Cricetulus griseus: one gene and its partner. The protein of the gene in region 1 purifies or fractionates together with the protein of each later gene. This does not show direct contact. Links are inferred from orthologs where the notes say so. Each region holds a gene or a part of one and is shown in the gene's direction. Other genes may lie near its edges. The genes, in order: Casp3 and Cryab.

What was found.
Region 2: the proteins of Casp3 (region 1) and Cryab purify together in Homo sapiens (affinity purification with western blotting; 3 studies listed by BioGRID). This does not show direct contact. The link is inferred for Cricetulus griseus from reciprocal best matches to the Homo sapiens genes CASP3 and CRYAB.

What each region holds. Positions count from the first base shown.
Region 1 is NW_023276807.1:40,015,011-40,021,642, reverse strand, and holds the start of Casp3 (caspase-3), read left to right. Parts: upstream 1-2,319; coding exon 2,320-2,372; intron 2,373-4,581; coding exon 4,582-4,706; intron 4,707-6,632. UniProt on the Homo sapiens protein: Thiol protease that acts as a major effector caspase involved in the execution phase of apoptosis. Following cleavage and activation by initiator caspases (CASP8, CASP9 and/or CASP10), mediates execution of apoptosis by catalyzing cleavage of many proteins.
Region 2 is NC_048597.1:162,497,542-162,504,292, forward strand, and holds the start of Cryab (alpha-crystallin B chain), read left to right. Parts: upstream 1-3,088; 5' UTR 3,089-3,176; intron 3,177-3,216; exon of another isoform or gene 3,217-3,690; intron 3,691-3,751; exon of another isoform or gene 3,752-3,888; intron 3,889-3,987; exon of another isoform or gene 3,988-4,259; intron 4,260-4,319; exon of another isoform or gene 4,320-4,377; coding exon of another isoform or gene 4,378-4,437; exon of another isoform or gene 4,438-4,514; intron 4,515-4,586; exon of another isoform or gene 4,587-4,710; intron 4,711-6,348; 5' UTR 6,349-6,579; exon of another isoform or gene 6,580-6,751. Other genes in the region: Dixdc1 (dixin), read right to left, coding at 4,378-4,382. UniProt on the Homo sapiens protein: May contribute to the transparency and refractive index of the lens. Has chaperone-like activity, preventing aggregation of various proteins under a wide range of stress conditions.

The sequences.
Region 1 (6,632 bases):
AAGCATGGCTTAACAAAAGGCATCCTCTACCCCTCATTCTGTTCCATTTCTCTCTTCACAGCAAGCAGGAAAGATCCTTTTCTACTAACCCGGGAAGAGTTGTTTATACTGTTGCTTTTCTCAACCCAGGGCAACCATTGGTTCCTTTAAAGTACAATTTCAAAAAGTTAAAACTTGGCTGCTCAAACAGAAAAACAACCCATGTCAAGAATTTTATTCACCTGCTAGCTAATGAATGGAACCAATTAGATGTTAAGTCCAGTTCAAAGGAGAATTGGAAGAACAAGCAAATGCAAACAAAGAGCTGAATGTGTGAGCAGTTTGCTGGCAGTTATGAAAATGGTTATGTCCTATAAGGCAATAACTATAATTTAGAAGGATAGAAAAGAATCTTGATGTAGCTGCTACTTTTTATGGCTACAAAGTTGGAAACCAGCGTGTCTAGTAGTGAGTTATGTAAAAGACTATGCCCTGGGGAATTCAATAATCCCTCTGGGTAACACCCAACATCCCATCAAAATAGTATCTAGTCACTCTTTTGGCTTGGGTCATTTGTCCTAACAGTCACTACTGTAGCCATGACATGTTTCATAAAGCCGGTGTGGCCTACTGCCCTCATTAAAATAGGTCTTCTGGCAAGGGTGGAAAAGGTGAGTGTCCCTAAAAGTCTTCTGCCAGTGTCGGCACACCACATCCACCCAATTCGCTTTGCAAACTCTCAGTTCTTCTGCTGGCTTCACTTCCTCTAATCAACTTCTAAATCACAGGATGCCCACACTTAACTGTCTGTATCCATCAGCTGTTCGGCTCCAACTGAGGCCTCTATCATCTCCCTGAGCTACTCCAGAAGGCTTCTCACCAGCCATGTGTTTTAGCAGCCAGAGTGTGCAGTCCCTCTTTGGCTTTAAATGTCCCAATGTTCTCTCCATGTTATTGGTCCGAAGACCTTATGTGATCTTACCTTTCCTGGCTATCTATCTTCCTGCCCCAGCACTAGTCAAACTGGTCTTTGTGTACCTTGAGTAGAGCAAGTTGTTCCCAGGCCTTTGATCTAACTGATGTTTACCCCCACCCCCACCCCCACCCCACCCCCACCCCAGGGCAGGGGCAGCCTCCCTCTGTGTCATTCAGATCTCTGTAATGCCACCTCAGAGATAACAACTCCCTGACCACCCCCCCATTCCCAGTTTCTCACCCCTTTCTCATTTTCCTCATAGCCCTGACAGTATTAGAACCCTATTTTCCATCTCTAATTCTTTCTTTGTGGAATTCAAGTTTCTTGAAGATAGACTTGTGGTGCAAAGTGTGTGCTCTCTAAACATTTGCTTGCTGACTAAAAGCATGGTACATCCCAGTTGTCTCATATCCTGTGGTTTTCTAGAAAACCCACCAGAATAAAAATTGTAGAAAGCAAAGAGCCTTTATAGGAACACAAAGCACTGACTGACTTAGGAAGGCAGATGGAGCACTGCTCTCTACTGTGGTTAAACTGAAGGGTGTCACTTCCTCCTCTCTGTGTTCTTTCTTCACTGTTCCCAAAGGCACACCACACGGGGGAAGAGTAGGAACTTAGCTTTGGAGCCTTCTGTGACGCCGTCATAGTCGTTCTGATTTTAGCATACGACTGAGGTTAAAAGTTGTATTTTGATTGAAATATTAGACGTAACCAGGGATTCTAGAGTCTGAAGATTCACTCGGGATTTTCAGTACTTCTTTCATGTTTCATTTCTGTTTGTATGTCTTCTTTATTTGGGGAGGTATACAACCAGGGCAGTGTCTTTCCTTCTAGAGAACTCTAGAAGACAGGAAGGAACAGATGTGGAGAGGTGCACATGTCTGGTATTTGGAGACAAAGTCACTTAGAATTAGAAGTCAAGTTTCTGAGTAGGATACTGTGGAGGTTTGGAAGTTCCTGGGGCTCTCACCATTGTGGTGTAGTATTATGTGAGCTTTACTTCGTGGTTAGTGTTTGGGTTTTGTTTTAGTTATGTTGAGTTGGAAGCTGAGTTCCAGTAAATAACTAGATTGGTCGGGTGACCAAGGAAAGAAGGTGTTACCTGTTTTGATTGGCAGGGGCATACAAATGGGGGAAAGAGACTGAGCTGCTTTACACTCTGTTCTTGATATAATTCATAGCTAGAAGATCAAGGAAGGAGAAGGATGGTGCTATTGCAAAGGACCATTCTCTAGACATCTGACTCATGGGACCAATAGCGATGGAAACAATGAATATGGCATTGCTAATATATTGCAGTGGTTCTATAATGGGTAACATCTCTCTTTTTTTTTCCTTCTATATTCTAGTTAAGAAAAGTGACCATGGAGAACAATGAAACCTCAGTAGATTCCAAATCCATTAAAAATTTTGAAGTGTGAGTATTTATTTATTTTTATTTGTTGTAGTTTAAGGCAGACTCTCCACATACCCTAGGCTAACCTGGACCTGTATAATCCAGGCTAGCTTTAAACTTGTGATGGCTCTCTGACCTTTGTTTTCTAATGCTAGCATAGCAAGCCATAGTCACTGTGCCTGGTGATAATGGTATAAGTGGAATTCTATATATATAGTCAAAGGAAGACATGTTTGTGGAATGCATCCCATTTGAGAAATAGAGAAGCAGAGGGAAAGGGGATTTCAAACTAGAGAGCAAACTGCCTCCCACCTCCAGCAGCTGTGCAGCTCTGGGTAAACTCATTCCTCTGATCTCATCTTAACTAAGATGACAGGGAAAGACTGGAGGGAAGGAGATTGCTCAGGTACTATGCTAAGTGCTCTTGAATTCCTGGCTTTGGGATTCTCCACTCTTTCTGAAGGTACGTCATATCCTTTCTTGGTCTACTTGTCACATGCTGGCAGATAACGGGGTGAACAGAAAGTAGTGAAGAATCAGCATTAGGTAATGGGAATTATAGTTCTGTGGTCGATTATAAGATTTGCATCCCTTATGCAAAATGACTAAAACCAGAAGTATTTTAGATTTCGGACTCTCAGGTTGGAACATATGCACACACACACACACACACACACACACACAATGCATTAGAGATGGGACCTAAGTGTGTGTGTGTGTGTGTGTGTACAGGTGTGAGTAGACTACAGTGCACATGGAGGTCAGAGGCCAACATTTCCTTGTTTCTGCTGCCAAGTGTCCTAGGCTAGCAGTCAGGCTTCCACCTATTCTCCTGTCTCCACCTCCCATCTTGCCTCAGGAATGCTATGAACACACACATGTGTGCCACCACTTAGAGCAACCTTCCTAACACTGTGACCCATTAATACAGGAACTCCTCATGTTGTAGTGACCCCCAACCATAAGGTTATTTTTGTTGCTGCTTCATAACTGTAATTTTGCTACTATTATGAATCATAATATAAATAGCTGATAAGCAGGATATCTGATATGCAACCCCTGTGAAAGGTTCATTCAACACCCACCTCCCAAAAGAGTTTTGACCCACAGGTTGAGAATCACTGACTTAAAGCTTTTTAATGTAGTTTCCAGTGATTGAACTCAGGCTGTTAGGATTGCATAGAAAGCGCTATTACCTACCGAGTATACCCTGGCCTATAAATTTTAAACACTGTGAATTCACTTTTGTTTCATAAAAACTTTATACATGTATCCCAAAGCTAATTTTATAAAATATTTTTAGTGGACCTATGTTTTGAAAGTGACCTGTCTCATGGGGCTTGGTGTGACTTTTTCCACTTGTGGCATTATATTGATATAAATTTTGGAGCATTTCTGATTCTAGATTTTCGAACAGGAATGCACAGCCTGACTATATGACCTAATTAACTCTGTAAAATGTGGGGCCTTACCTCCAGCTATATATCATGGTTCTTTTTTGTCTGACTTTGATCCCCTTCATTTACTACTTTTAATCTTTCTACATTATTTTTAGAATTATATAAAATATAAGATGCTATTAAGGCTGAGTATGCATCCTTAACTTTTTTGCTTGGCTGTTCTTAGACTCGGCCTCAAAAATAAAATCTTAGGAAAAAAAAAGGCCGTACTTGCTGGTGGTGGTGACATACGCTTTTAATCCCAGTACTCAAGAGGCAGGGGCAGGCAGATCTCTGAATTTGAGACTAACCTGGTCTATAAAGTGAGTTCTGGGACAGCCAGGGTTACACAGAGAAACCTTTTCTCGAAAAACAAACAAACAAACAAACAAACAAACAAAAAAAGGTACTTTTATCATGGATAAATTAATTCATACATTGTTAATTTTTTTAAAGATGTATTTCGTAAAATGCTATTGGACTTTACAGGAAAACCTTCCAATAAGAGCTGAACACACTTCAGCACATTTTACTTCCTTGGCCTTGGCAGGTCATTTCCTCATCTTTGAAATGGGTTGTGGTTGTTGTGGATGTATTTATTTATGCTTTTTTTCCCTCTAGCACTTGGGATCAAACCCACATGTGAAATTTGAATGAGGGAAGGATTTAACACGAAGTTGGGTACATTGATAGTCTCAAACAAATGTTAACCATTCTTATGAGTAATAAAAGTTGTATTAATGGAGTCCTTTCTGCCTTTGGTAACTAACCGTCACTTGATTTCCATGCAGAAAGACCATACATGGAAGCAAATCAATGGACTCTGGAATGTATCTGGACAATAGTTACAAAATGGATTATCCTGAAATGGGTGTGTGTATAATAATTAATAATAAGAACTTTCATAAAAGCACTGGTATGTATCTAACATAATTTTTAAAACATTTCAAATATTTATGCCATTTACATTGGATACAATGTGAAAAGCAATTATCAGTGTGTTATGAGTCAGTAAACTGATATAGACAAACCACAGAGTAGAGCTACACTGGAACTTACAGGTCCCATATACAATAGGAACTCTTTTTCCATATTCAGAATCTTTGCCTCTCCTGACTTTGAAGGGTTGGATTCTCTGCTGCCCAACAGAGCCAATCTCTTGAGAGGCTGAGTGATGGGAGAAGAAAAGGTTGCATAAGCAACAAGCTGGCAGGGAGAAGATAAGTGACTGGCACCTGAGGTCTGCTGCCCTGGGGCAGCTGAGAAAGTGTCTCTAGCATCCTTTACAGGAGCCCTTAACTCACAGCCTCAGGCAGGTGGGCCCTACAGTCATTCCTTAGTCAGTATCAGAATACAAATCAGGGCCTCAGCCGGGTGTTGATGGCACACGCCTTTAATCTCAGCACTCGGGAGGCAGAGGCAGGCGGATCTCTGTGAGTCCGAGGCCAGCCTGGTCTCCAGAGCGAGTGCCAGGATAGGCTCCAAAGCTACACGGAGAAACCCTGTCTCGAAAAGCCAAAAAAACAAAACAAAACAAATTAGGGCCTCTTATCTCAGACTTGAGGTTGCTGGATTATCCCTGCCCTGTGCCAGGTTTCTCATTTACAGGTCTGTGTGCCTGCCTTCAGGCACATTCTGCTTCTGTGTTTACAACCGTTATTTAATTGAGGCCTTTCCCCTGACCTGAGAATGAGTGCACAGTAAAAGGAATGGTGTTTTATACTAACTCACAAGTAGTCATTAAGTTATAACTCAGGGGTTGTGCCACAGATCCTCCACACTCCAATGGAAGGCTGCACGTAGGAAGATGACACAAAGTTGGGTGGGACGGGAAGGGTCATGGGCTTAGAAGGAGTTGGAGACCCAGGGATGAATATGACTAAAGTCCATTGTATGAAATTCTCAAAGAACTAATTGGAAAAAAAAAATGAGGAAAAAATAAAATTAAAGAAGAAAAGGAGAGGGAAAAGACCAGAAAATGGGGTCAGTAGAGTGATTCTATTCCCAGTACCACATAGCCCTGTATGATGGTACATTCCTGTAATCCTGTCACTGTCACTTGGAAGAAGGAAGTAGAAAGATGCCAGCCTGGGCTAATGGGACTTTGTCGCTGAACAAACAAAAACCAACAAAACCAAACCTTGCCACAACATCTTTACTTACAGCAGTTAGAGCCCAGTGCATGTGGCTGAGCTGTACTGATGATCTGTAGTCCTCATTGGTACCTCCTTGATGATCTGTAGTCCTCATTGGTACCTCCGTGATGATCTGTAGTCTTCACTGGTACCTCTTTGATGATCTGTAGTCCTCATTGGTACCTCCGTGATGATCTGTAGTCCTCATTGGTACCTCCTTGATGCCAATAAGACGTTCTCCTCCCCTTCTTCCCTCAGTCCTCTCCTTGCACCATGTGGGTACCAGGGATCAAATTTAAGTTATCAGGCCTGGCAGCAAATGTCACGAGCTGGCTCAAAGGTCCTCAACTTTATCACTCTGAACCAATTTGTTTCCTTCCTTTTAAAGCCAAGCATCTCTCATGCTAAGCATGCTGTGTACCAAGGGCAGGTTTCTTAGCTCATTTGTGCTCTGCATCCATCATGTGTACAAATGAAGCTAGTGATATGCATCTTGTGGGTACAGTAATGTCACCCACATAGCAGAAAACCTGATTAGCAATATTAATCTGATAATATTTGTGGATTTTTCCCCAAAAACATGTGCAAGTAGTACTGTCTTAAAATTGATTCGACATAGAATCAAATTTAGTGTCTGTGAGTAAGCTATATAAACAAAACTAAGATCACATACTTTTTTCTGTCTAAAATTATTTACTGGATATTAT
Region 2 (6,751 bases), on another chromosome or scaffold:
TTTACTCATGGAGCCATCTCATTACCCTCGTTCCCCTCACATTATTTTTCCCCAGACAAGGACTCATTATGCTGCCCATGGAAATCTGAATATGGCAACATGTGGACTAAGCAACCCTCCTGCCTCAGCCTGCTGAGTAGCTGGGACTCCAGCAATGTGCTACTTCCCTCTGTCAAGCTTTTTAATATGTTCCTTTCCTACTTAGAGAAAAATGGGCAGGGAAAAATCTGCCAGTTCACATGGTCAGACAACTGGCTTCCTACTGACCAACTTTTTCATAAATTATTCCCTCAACTTTCATTCTCTTAGCCATTCACATCAAAACAAGGCAGAAGTTCACTCTTTTCCACAAGCAAGATGCCTGTACTAAGGCAAAGTTCCCAAGTATGATGCTTTCTTTATCTTCATTGACCTGTGAACTCCATTAGGGAACAGACTTTGTTATTTGGCTTCTATTTCCAGAGCCTGGCATGATGCCTGGTAAACACAGTAATTCAGTGAGCGTTTGGTGAGTGATTGCCTGCACACATATACCAGCTGAGCAGTGGTGGTGGTAGGGAACTGATCTCAGTAAACACAAAAGTATGATATTTGTTTCTTTTCATGGTTTTATTAATTAGAAAGTGTTTCTACAATATCCCATAAGCATTACTTGTTTGTGATATTCATGACATTAAGCATCCTAATGGGGCTTTTCCAGTAGGTTTTGTCTCTCCCTATACAATTTTCAATGGCTGTGTATATTCCCCTCATTCAATGAAGGAATAAAGTAATGGTTATTGGTCAAACCATATTATAATCATAGGTCTATTAAAATCTCCCAACACAAACACCAAAGTTTTTAAAACAAAGTTTATCCCCCAGGAAAAAACACTGGCAGAAATTCATACTGCCAAAGACAATGTTAATATAACAACCAATACTAAGTATCTTGAACCAGGTGTTGAGGGACATGCCAGCAACTCCAGCACTGGGGAAATGGAGGTAGAATGAATAGGAATTCAGTAATCCTTTGCTACATATGGAGTTCAGGGACAGCCTGTGTTAGAAACAACATGCCTGGGATGTGGGTCAGTGAAGTGCTTGCTATGTAAGCCTGAAGATGCAATGTCCAGCACCTACTTAAAAAGCCAGGCATAGCAGCACCCAGCTGCAATCCTGGCACTGGGGAAGCCGAGACAGGCAGATTTCCAGAGCTCGCTGGCCAGACAGCCTAGTGGAATCAGTGAGCTCCAGGTTTTGTGAGAGACCCTGTCTCAAAAAGTAAGGGGAGAGTAACTGAAGAAGCCATGACATCAACTCCAGGGCTGTGCACACATAACACACACCACACACACAACAAACACACACACATAACACACACACACACACACACACACACACACACACACACACTATAGCTTTGAAACAAATGCAGAATAGCCAAGGTGGGTTACCAATGTCAGTAGCTAAAATAATAATTCAGTGAAAATCAACCATGTCAATACAAGAGATTGCTTTAGCATCACTGACATGAATCAATTCTGTGACTTCTTTGCCAGGCATGCTGAGGCCAGGACTCTAGGTGGGCAATGTGATTGAAGGAGATTCGGTCACACACAGTTATATTTAGTGACATATGGATTGAAGAGGGACCAGCAATAAATAGAGGGAAGCCTTGATTCAAAGGGCAGGGTTTCTCTCTGCTGCTGGATTTCTCTATAATTAACCAATTAAGGCCATCTCCCTGTCTCCTGTGGGAGTTTTCTCTGCCAGGGAGAATGAGGTTGCAGCCCTAACCACACAGACCTATAATAAACCATCTGGGTGATGAAGGATAGCTTCAGATATACTTAGATTATTCCCAAGAGGTGGCTGAATACATGTGTGGTATTCTTAGTCTCAGTAGAAATAATTTCTCAGAGGAACTAAGTGTATTCTGACACTGTCTTTTAAGTCCCCAGTTAGTCTTATCACATGACTCTAGCAAAAGAGATTGAATGTTACTGGGCCTATTAAGCAACCTTGAGCCTGGAATAGATCAAACAAGGCTCCCACCAACCATACCAATTGCTTCACTTGTCCTGTTATTCAGTAACATGATTGTGTGATAGTATGGGGGTGGGGTGGGAAGAAGAAAATGTATTATATGAGAATTTATGTTAACTAAGGAATCATTCAAATTTAACATTAATATTTATATTATTTAGAGGTATAAAACCACAGTGCTATTTTGTTTTTCAGAGTTCAAATCTACTAAGGACTCTACTACTAAGGAGAACATGAGTCTGCAGAGAGAGCAGTTTATGGGAAGAGTAGACAATTCAAATACCACAGGAGCATATTACTGAATGGCTCTTAACAGAAGAATTGATTGCAAAGTTGTCTGACTGTTGCTTTTAGAAATATTCTATTACCAGCACAGGAAGAAATATCTTTTACTCCCCCTTCCCCTTGTTTTGGAAGAACTGTGCTGTTATGCAATATTTATGTAGAGTCATGGAAATGATAGCCAGGCCACTTCATTTTCACATGGGTCTTCAGATGAAGATTTAGAAATGAAAGACCAGCAGAAAGCAAAGACTAGGACTTGGCCCTGTGCCCGTCACCTTCTAATCAGAAGGTGGGTCCTGACACCAAAGAGCCGGGTTAAAACAGAGAAGGGGGAAGGGCATTGGAGGACCAAGGGACTTTTGCCACAACTGATGAATGGGTAGGATTTACACAGCTAAGGACCAGAGAAGGCCCTGGAGCAGAGAGTGAGAAGAGATGAATGGGAGTACTGGAGGCACTTAAAGAGGTGTGTTTCCTGACTCTTCTGTGTTTCACCTCTGGGTCTGTAGCTCTTTGTTAACGATTCCCTTACATGTGTTCAGTGAGAAGTGATGCGAAGATGAGGAGGCCAGCCATGCAGGCAGGATACAAGCTCTGCCCTTTGATGAAGGTTGTAACACCCCTCAGCCAAAGGAAAATTCCAGCACAGTTGGTCACACTGGCAGAACATTTCCGTTGGATTTTTTTTCTCTGTCTGTGTCAGGAACAAGGCTGGGGCACAGGGTGGGAGGAGGGCAGAACTGGGGTAGGTTCTAAGGCAGGTCACAACTCAGGGCTTCTTAATTAGAAACAGCGATCAAGGAGGGAGCCTGTCGTGCAGCTGGAGACAAAAAAAAAATCCTACATGGAAATTCATGAGAATGGTTGGTTGCCTCTAGGGGAAAGGTTGGGAAGGGGGTGGAAGCAGGGAATGGCACAAAAGACTCTTCCATCTTGCCTGTAACGTTAATATTTAAGAAGAATATCAGGTTAGGGTGTAGCTCAGTGGTCTAGCCCCTAGTCATATGCAAGGCCCTAGGTTCAGTCACCAGTGCTGGGGGTGGAGGGTTATATTTTCATATGTTATCTGACTAAAAACTGATTTTAAAAGCACAAGTTGCTGCCTTAAAGGGTAGAGGAGTAGGGCAGTGGTAGAACACTTTCATAGCATGCCCAACCCCCTCCCCCAAGAGATCTTAAATTTAAAAATTCGATGGAGAAGGGAGAGGTGCACAGAGGGAAAAGTGGGCAGGAAGCCATGACCAATAGCCTAAGCCTTCCTGGCTGCTGGGCTAAGGCAACCAAAAGGATGAGTGAGGAGGAGTGGGGGCAAATGGAATGGCAATGGTCTCAAACAAGAATCGACTGGATCACAAAAGAAGCAAAAGGAAGAAAGAGGTAACAGAATTCTGAGAGAAACTTGTGAGGAGAAAATGAGCCTGAGTCAAGCCTAGCTCACCTTTCCTGTTAGATTGAGGATCCCCCACAGCAGTTCTCACAGAGGGGAGCAAATATTGGCTCCTGAAACTGGGCCTGTGACCCAGGTTGCTCCTCTCAAACAACCTTGTCCTGGGTGGTGGAGGACATAACGGCGCAGGACTCAGGGAATTCACACGTGGAAAGGACCACCCGCAGTCTCCTGCCCTCTCAAACTTTCTACCAATGCCACACCACCACACCCCTCCCGTGACTCATCCGGTTAGCTCCTGAAATAGAAAGAGCTAGCTGCCTCCTGTTCAGGGCTTCCCTCAAGGATGTCCCTGGAGAGTCCCCAAGAGGCGTGGGGACCACCTTTCCTGCAAGGAGATGCCTTCTTAAGTCTGTGGTCCTCACTGTCCTCGGCACTCAGGAAGGTAATCGTTCAGCTTAGAGAGAGGCCCACCGCCCTTCTGATGCCCTCAGGTTCCTGCATCTATCTGCACCGCACCCACCACCTTGGCTCTGTACCCAGGCTCTTCAACTCTGACGTATGATGTGTTCTGGGCTCCCCCAGAGGATGCCCCCCGCCCCAGGATTCCCTTCCGGAGATTAGGCGGGAGGCGTGGGGTGACGGGGAGCTGGGGGTGGGAGGAGCAGGGCAGTTACCTCATTGAAGCCCTCCTGCAGGACGTCCAGTAAGTTCCCGCGGGTCAGGCAGGCTAGCATTGTTCCTGCCGTGGGGCTCCCCGGGTGGGGTCGAGCCGCCTCCTCCTCCTCCCTCTGCACACAAAGGCAATCGGCTCAGCTCCCTGGGATCTCTCCTGAGTCCCGCATGCCACTTACTGGAAACCTAGAGCCGAGCCAAACTAGCGGCTTGCACTGGGCATGCTCGCGCGCAGGCCGCAGCCGGAGGGGCCCTGGCGCCGTGTTGGTTCCTATAGAAACAGTCAGGCGCGCACGGCAGGCACCGAGAGGCAAGCGGCCAGCCCCGGGCAGCCCGTGAGTGCGGGGGAATCCGAGGGCGCGCGCACACGCTCCGGACTGGTGCGCGCGCACGCGCGCGCGCGGAGAGCACTCACACACGCGTACACACCTACACACCCATGCTGACACAAGTGGGCTTGCCAGCACGAGCATATGCTTACAATCACTACACTGCAGGTTTGGAGACGGGCATCCCCGCGCGTGCGCACGCACACGCAGGCGAACACACACACACACACACACACACACACACACACACACACACACACACATTCACTCTGCTCTCTTAAGGCTGCTAGCACCTCACCACACACACACACACACACACACACACACACACACACACACACACACACACACACACACACACACACACACACACATTCACTCTGCTCTCTTAAGGCTGCTAGCACCTCACCACAAGGTGGATGGGAAAAGGAGTGAGTCACAGGATTCCCCCACCCCATTCTTCAGCAACCTTTTTCCACATGTGAGGCAACCTAACAGAGGAAGTAGAAGGGCAAGAAAAAAAAAAAGAGGAGGAATCAGGAGAGAGCGGCTGGGGTGGTGGTGGTGGTTGTTGGGGATGTAAGTAATTGAACAGTGCTAAACAAATCATAACATCACAACAAAAACATCAAAGATGATTCAGGATGGCCATGGTTTTACCACATGTATCTCTTCTCTCTTTTCAAAATAATTGCTGTAAGGGGAAAGGTGGGCAAGGTGGCTCAGGGGATAAAGGCTCTTGCAGAAGCTTGGCACCTGAGATCAATCCAGGAACCATGTTAAAGGTGGAAAGGGAGAGCTCACTCTTCTCTGGTACATGCACCCATATACACATCATGCTGTCTCACACATTAATAATTAATTCTAAAAATAAAATAACTGCGTGGTGGTGTACACCTGTGATCCTTTACTGGGAGCTCGAAGCAGGGAATCGGAAGTCATCCTTGGCTGCATAGCCAGTTTCTGGTCAGCCTAAGCTATGTGTGATCCTTTCAATAACATATATATATATATATATATATATATATATATATATATATATATTTCAGGCCTGGCACTCTAGAAGCAGAGACAGGAAGGTCTCTATGAGTCCAAGGCCAGCCTGGTCTACATAGCAAGTTCCAGGCCAGCCACAGATATATAGTGAGATTTGGACTCAAAAAAAGAAAGGCAAACCTTATTTTAAGGGGTTTTTATAAGTGTTTTTAATTGAAAGAAAGCACCCAAAATGCCCTGGTACATTGACAGGAAGTGTAACAGGACTTCTCCCTTCTGCGACCTGGCTGAGGTCACCAACTCAATTGTTTATTTTTAAGAACACTAACCATTTGCATGTTCAGAGAAAACTGATCTTTGAAAAAAAAAAGAAAGAAAATCAAAAGTATGTCCACATCCCCTCCCATCTTGTGGTCCTAGGTAGAAAGGAAGAATTTACACAGTGCTAAGACCCAGAGAAGTCAGAGCCTTGTCCAAGGACACAGCTGCTCAGGGACTCGCAACTCAATAATCAAGGAATTACAAACCACTTTATAGCCATCCTGGGTGCACCCCCCTCCCCGCCCCCAAACCCCATTAGGACAGCACGAAGAAAAGTCACTAATGAGCTTATTGAGTCTTAGCTAACCTAATAACCTCCTCTTCCAGGCACTGGAGAAAAGGAAAAACCTTACTTGGGGCAGCCTGACTGGATATCTAAAGCTGCTGAAAACCAAAGCCTCCTGGAGAAATGATGGGCCTCTGACCACAACAAGCAGGAAGCAGAGAGTCAACGTGCATTGAGCCAGTTGCTCTGCTGGTTGAATCCCGTGGGTTCCACTCTGGCTGAAGCTGGGAAACAGCTGTAACACCCAGTCAAACTAACTCTGAGCAGCTGGGGTAAGTCAGAAGACCTCTCCGTCCTTCACCATTTAGCTGGGGAGTGTCACTGCCAAGATTCCTCGCTGTTCCTTCAGTCCGTGGCAGACTCATAAACCAGTGCTTGAGGCAATGGAGCCCTTTATAAACAGAAGCACAAAACTTGCAGGTGCAAAGAACTGCATGGCACATG